2 linked regions of the Saccharomyces cerevisiae S288C genome follow. Changing the gene in region 1 together with any one later gene gives a genetic interaction. Each region holds a gene or a part of one and is shown in the gene's direction. Other genes may lie near its edges.

Region 1 (4,516 bases):
ACTTCTCATAATGAAACCAAATAGAGTGCCTATATTAACAACATTTTCTTCATGTAAACAATATTGGCCGCGCTGATGACGAACGACATTCAAATGTCTAAAACGGCTAAACTTAGTGAATACATTTACAAATTCATTTCTGTTTCGGAGGGGTGACAGAATGACTATAAATTCCATGCTTAAGACTTATCGCCGATATAAGTAAATATTGAAATGAAAATTAATCACCATCGACCGACTAGAGTTCGCATAAGTATATTATCGTGTACGGTGTAAGAATATAAATAAATGACGAACGGTCGTCAAACTTAATGGGAGCTGAAACACAAGGATCCGAATTATGATAGGGTAGTGAATGGCGACACATAAGCGAATAAAGAGAGATCATAATGCTACTGTGTAGAAATATTGATCACTTCTCGTGGGTTCGTAAATCCTCGGGGAAAAACTACAGTATACTTTGTATTCGCAAAAATATTACCGTTCCAAATAATAGTATGCCAACGATTATCAGCAAGTTCATCTCATTCACAGTACCCAGAAATACGAAATGAACAACTTTACACAACGATGATTCCTTTTCTCATAATACTTTCATTCGATTCATCCTTATATATTACTCACACACATCAGTTGCTCCAAAATCTAATAACACTGTGATCCCTGTTCTACTACTCTACTTTAATTAATTCCATCTTTTAACAACCTATACTATGGAATATAATTGATAACGATTTTAATTTTTTGAACGAGTAGCCGATAGACCAATATTACCTGCTGTTAGAATCAAATATGAATATAGACAATGTAATTATGTAACCAGAAGGAATCACAAGAAAACAGAATACACAAATAATCAAGTTAGTATGGCAACTTGGCCGAGTGGTTAAGGCGAAAGATTAGAAATCTTTTGGGCTTTGCCCGCGCAGGTTCGAGTCCTGCAGTTGTCGTTATTTTTTGCCTCTTGATGGATTTTTAAGTTTTGCGCTCATGCTTGTTATGATAATAGGAGAGCGAAATGCGGTAATTTTGTTTACGTCCATAATCATTTTTTCGTTTTGAGATTATTTCGGATCGGCAAATGCATTTTTTTAGCTCTGGAAATGTTGTTTTCACTTTTTCGCTTGCTTATGTGCATCCTAGGACTTTAGTTCACACCATCGATTATTTCTGTTAGGTTACACAGCATCTTTTACGTAAATGGCATGTGGCGATTCGCCAACTGGTTTCTCCTCATCGTTCCTAGCGCGGGGCTGACGGCCTTCCTCTGTGTTTTCAGGTAGTATCATCGCTATCGCACTCCACCAGCTACGAAGCCGGTGCAGGCAGAAACATTACTTGCATAGTAATACACGAAATTTATTTACTTTAAACCTTTATATCGAATTTATATCCCTAAACATTGAATTCTTCTCTTTTTTTTTCTTTTTTTAATTAGTTTTTTTCCTATTGTAGTTTTTTCCATCGCAAGCTAGATAAATATCTTCAACTTATTCACTTTGGCAGGACCAGATTTAACTGACTTGTGTAGCTAAGGAACGTGAAGGCTGAACAACAGCGGGAACTAAGTGCAGAATATATCGGCAGAAGTTTTGCAGAAATAACCCCTCATTAACACTCACTCTCATCCTTCAACTGCTCGAAAGACGGTTAACAAAAACCATCAAAAAGCACTCTGTTACTTAAATATAATGCAAAAATCCGTTAGAGTGGGCGACTATTTTGACAATGATGACAATGGTTTGTGGTCGTGGTACTTAACAAACCTCAGATTAGGCGATTTTGAAGAACTTATAGGCAATCAATTAAAATACACTCTGTTAAAAAGATTTCTGAATAGTCATTTTTATGGTGATAACAATATTTCGGCCAGGCCAAACAAGAAGATTTTGTTAGTTTCCATCCCAGAGAATGTTCATGAAGATATCTCCATATTGGAAATCTTCCTCAAAGATTACTTTCATCTGGAAAAATTAGAACACATTCAAATCTCAAAATTAACTCACTCCCACTGCTACAATCATGAAAATCATTACCTATTGACGGACAACCTCAACAATTTCCAAGACCCTACCTTTTTAGAATTTGCGAGTACAAGTTGGCAAGTTCAAAAAAATTCCAAGGCTTTAAACAATAACAATAGAAATTCAATACCACCACCCACAATATCTTCATCAAAAGCTTCAAACGGGAAGCTAGAATCAAACGTTTCGGATGATCAGTGGTCAAATATAAATACCCAGACTTCAACAGCTACCCGAACTAATACGAATACGAGGACTTTGACATCTCCGGACACAGTTGATATAAACGTTACATCCGTGAATAGTCAAAGCAATAATAATGATACGCCTCAAGATAATGAAAACGAAGTTGATGAAGAGGATGCCACAAGTTCTATAGTCCTAAATTTTTCTCATTCGCGAACAGTAGATTCAAAGCCTAATAGACTACCCAAAATTTTTCCATCATACACTAATGAAGACTATACACCGTCACATTCCGAGATAATGTCAATAGATAGTTTTGCTGGCGAAGACGTATCATCCACATATCCCGGACAAGACCTGAGTTTAACTACTGCCAGGCGCGAGGATGAAAGTGGTCAGGATGAAGTTGAGGATCATTATAGCAGAGTCTCACATGATCTAGGTGACGAGAGTATCGATCAAGCAAGTTATAGCATGGAAAGTTCGGTCAGCTACACTAGCTATAGTAGTAGCAGTAATAGTAGTAGTGCCCACTACAGTTTAAGCAGTAGCAGCCGAGGTAATCCAAAACGTGAAAACATCGATCACACGAATGCCACCTATGTCTCTGAATTGTCAAGTATAACGAGTTCTATAGACAATTTAACTACTTCGACAACCCCAGAGGAGGAGGATAATTTAATTCATCATAACTATGACGCCCAAGGGTATGGATCAGGAGAGGACGATGGAGAAGAGGTTTATGATGATGAAGATCTTTCTTCTTCCGATTACTCAGTACTATCCATTCTACCGTCAATCTCAATTTGTGATTCTCTAGGGTATTTTAGGCTAGTTTTGCAATCTATATTAATTCAGGATCCAGACACCAAAGAAATTTTTACTGCGATTAGACAGTCAAACAATAAACCTACAATGGCAAGCGTTACCGATGATTGGTTGCTGTATGATTCCAATTTTTCAATGAATAATTTACAAATTCTAACACTTCAAGATTTGCTAGATATCAAGAGATCATTTCCAAAAATTTTATTTTACACAATGGTTATTGTGACAAACTCCGGCAAACAGGTTGAAGAAGAATTCAAAAATCCCAATTATGATAATAGGGAAGGAATATCAAAAGAGCAACCTCTAGATTCTGAGTTATCATTAACTAACGACCCGCAACAATATTTCCCGACTGCATATAATAACGGTTACAACGACTATATTGACGATGAAGACGATGAAGACGATGGTGACGATGCTTCTTTATCAGAACAGTCAGGCCCACAAATGTACATACCAACTAGAATGGAATCTAACGTTACTACAGCACATCGTTCTATTAGAACCGTAAACAGTATCGGGGAATGGGCATTCAATAGACATAATTCTGTTACAAAAATCGATAAAAGTAATAGTAACGAGTTGGATAACTCTAAAACAGGTGAAAGTACAGTTTTATCAAGTGAACCTCATCCAATGACACAACTGTCGAACTCTAATACGACTTCCTCGAATTTTAGCCATTCTTTGAAGACAAAAAATTCTCACAAACCTAATTCCAAGGGTAACAATGAAAGTAATTCCAAAAATGAGTTGAAAAAGATAAAGAGTTCCATCAATGCTATGAGTGCCGTGGAAAGGTCCAAAAGTTTGCCTTTACCTACATTACTAAAGTCTTTAAGCGGCATAGATAACCCTACTCATGCCACTAACAAGGATAGAAAGCGTTGGAAATTCCAGATGAATAGGTTTAAGAATCATAAAAACAGTGGTTCTGCAGGTACGGATAAATCTCAGCGTTGTGCCATCATGTAAAGAATACTTTACCACTATATATAGATATATATATATACTTGTATTATAATTATAATCATTATTGGTACTATTGCACTTACCAGTTTCTATATTGACATTGAAGGTGATACAGAGAATTCATACATAGTCTAAATATATTTAAAGTATAGGTTGTGTACATAAAAAAATACCGAGGTGATACAATCTACCTACTTTCGGCGAAAAGGCGAAGCAAGGTAAGTTAAAAAAGTTTAATTGTAACATTATAGAAAAAGTTCTTTCGGTTACCCAGTTTTCCATAAAGTTCCCGCTTTAGTTCATATGCTTATTCAAAGCTAATTGAACGTCTTCTGCATTGATGACAACCCCTCTTTCTGAACATTTTGCCTTTGCCATTAGCTCGGAACATAAACCATCGACATCAATATCTGAGTATTTCGGATGTGTTGTTATTCTATCCCAAATTTCCGAACACCTTAGTAAAGAGCCTTCCTTAGATGGAACGACATCATTATCATTAT
Region 2 (2,823 bases), on another chromosome or scaffold:
CATGGGCACTGTTAATATACCTTCAAGTCTACATACATATATATAAACTGCATTTGGCTATCTATCGAACGTAAGCAGGAAAAAAATGGCAATTCGATTGAAAATCCAAAACCCTTTATGATACTGAAGACAACTCCAGTAATTGAATAGGTATGGAATAGTAATTCTCTGAAAACTCCCTTGAAAATTGGGAGGCAATGATACTCCTATTTGTGCTGCATCTCAATTGTTGTGGTAAATAGCGTCCTAAACTTTTTTTTTTTCCTATATATAGATGGCGTCGCTAAAATGGGAAGCTTTGAAAAATGTAGCGATGAGATCACATTAAAAGGGTACTGTATGTGCTCTCGAGACCTTAGCACAAATTTTTGACCTGCGTAGACAGAGATGGTTGGGCCTGGTCTGGGAATTAATCGAGTGAGGAGAAAAGGTGTTTATTCCACAAAAAAGGGAAGTGGTGATAACTTACTGTTAATGAAAAGACAAGGAAAACATGACATACATGATAGAGAAAGTGACGACTTATCAGGCCATGATGCCTTTTCCCCCTCAAAAAAGCGCGGCAAAATAGACAGTATCACAGAAGATGAGATTGAAGTAAAAAAGCTTTCCACTGTGGCCACATTTGATAAACTTTCGAGGTCATTTCCAAATTCAGAAGTACAAGCCGCAAAGAATGCAGCACTCAGAGGAAAAGAAAAAGAAGAAGAGAAGGTCGTTTCTATCCCACTAATACAGAATTTGAAAAATGAAGATATCGAGTCTATCAAATGCAGGAACAATAATCTTTTAGACGGTAAAAAATTACTCTTGGAGGCAGAACTATCGGCAGTTGAAGATAACCAAATCTTCTCCTCTTCATTTCCCGAGGATAAAAAGCTATCGTTACAAAGTTGTTTGAGTTCTAAAGAGCAGATAATCAAAAAACTTCAAGTAAGGGAAGAATACATGAGCAAGTTCAAACTACCACCCATGTTGTTTTCGGATGAGCTACTCACTGAAGTAGAACCCTTCATGCCCATTGTAATGGACATATTGGAGGGAAAGATATCGTCTGTATACTATTTTGAAGCAAAAAATGCATTCAAAAACTCACAAAAGGCTTACTTGTCCGTAGATGAGTTTAGAAAGTTGAATTTAAACAAATTTACTGCTGGATTTTACGGCCTGAAAAGGCAATTGAGGGTTGGCGAAGAAATCGCTAAGAGATATAAAAGGGCACTCACGCACAATCAGCCCGCAACCTTAAAATGGTGGGGGATAACAGATTTCTGTAACTACGTTTTGGCTCCAGAAACCCTTACGTCTTTTTGTATTTACCAATTAAATCTCTCGAATAAATCTTGCTCGTCGAAGACACCGAATAAACATCCAAAGCAACAATTAAACGAGAAGGAATATTACTACGATCCCGAATTAAGGATGCTAGCCTATGACTTACTCGAGGATACAGTTGAATACGGTATCATAGTAGCCGACTCTGATCCAATTGAGCAATGGGAAGCTGCCATAGAGGAAGACCGTCTGCGGGAACTGAAACTCGATGTTCATAACTATTCCAGCAGGAGATGGCGACTGGATACGCACGATTAAACAGGTAGTATATTGCCGTTTGTTGCCTTTATGGCTTAGGGATTTGAGCTTTATAGTAAGAACTGCTGTGGTGTCATGATAGACGAAATGCTGAAAAAATTTTCTTTTCGTTCCTTTTCTCTTTTGGCAAGAGTTGTAATAAGGTCATCGATGGATTAGAAATGCTCTTTCTGCTTTGGGGGCACTTGAGGATTGTATTATTTTAAGGCTTTCCCTTCAGAAATCAGGAAAAAAGAAAAGAATACGAAAAAGATGTCTCAAAAAGCTTGTTACGTTTGCGGTAAGATTGGCCATTTGGCAGAAGACTGTGATTCTGAAAGACTATGTTACAACTGTAACAAACCCGGTCACGTTCAAACGGATTGTACCATGCCAAGAACAGTTGAATTCAAGCAATGTTACAATTGTGGTGAAACCGGTCACGTTAGAAGTGAATGTACTGTGCAACGTTGTTTCAACTGTAACCAAACCGGCCACATCTCCAGAGAATGCCCTGAACCAAAGAAGACCAGCAGATTCTCCAAAGTTTCATGTTATAAATGTGGTGGTCCAAACCATATGGCTAAGGACTGTATGAAAGAGGACGGAATTAGTGGATTGAAATGTTACACTTGTGGTCAAGCTGGCCACATGTCCAGGGACTGTCAAAATGACAGGCTTTGTTACAACTGTAACGAAACTGGCCATATTTCCAAGGATTGTCCAAAGGCTTAGGTGAAACATCCACTGAAAAAAACAAAGGAACAATCACTTATCATGCTATATTTCATAGAGGGGAAAAAAGAAGCACAAGTAAACTGAATATTTAAGTTTATTTTCTATATCTTTTCTATACTTCATTTCACTTGTTTCCTCCCTTGGTTATTTTTAACGATTCTTTATTATGAAACAGGAAAAAAAATTATTACAAAACAGAATTACATATTTAATCTATATAACTAACCTTTATTCCAAACCTTTATAAATAGCATCTGCTAATTTAATGCTCTTCGAACAATTTTTAACGTCATGGACCCTAACCATGTCGCTGCCGAAACCAATACACGACGCTACCACCGCTCCAGTAGCAAAGTCTCTTTGCTTCGCATCCACATCTTTTGTGATATGTCCAATGAATTTTTTGCGCGATGGACCCAATAAAACGGGCATATTTCTGAGGTTAACATACACTTGCGAATTGTTTGAGTTCATGGTGAATGAGTAGTTCTTTAAAATGGGGATATGTCTAAT

What was found. Genes that interact genetically often act in the same process or in processes that back each other up.
Region 2: of GIS4 (region 1) and GIS2, extra expression of one rescues a mutant of the other (dosage rescue), as found in Saccharomyces cerevisiae (one study listed by BioGRID).

Annotation. Positions count from the first base shown.
Region 1 is NC_001145.3:255,592-260,107, reverse strand, and holds GIS4 (Gis4p), read left to right. Parts: upstream 1-1,691; coding exon 1,692-4,016; downstream 4,017-4,516. Other genes in the region: DNA-binding transcription factor YAP1, read right to left, coding at 4,308-4,516.
Region 2 is NC_001146.8:166,813-169,635, reverse strand, and holds GIS2 (mRNA-binding translational activator GIS2), read left to right. Parts: upstream 1-1,845; coding exon 1,846-2,307; downstream 2,308-2,823. Other genes in the region: RTC4 (Rtc4p), read left to right, coding at 388-1,593; trifunctional dihydropteroate synthetase/dihydrohydroxymethylpterin pyrophosphokinase/dihydroneopterin aldolase FOL1, read right to left, coding at 2,539-2,823. UniProt on the Saccharomyces cerevisiae protein: May act in the sexual differentiation pathway.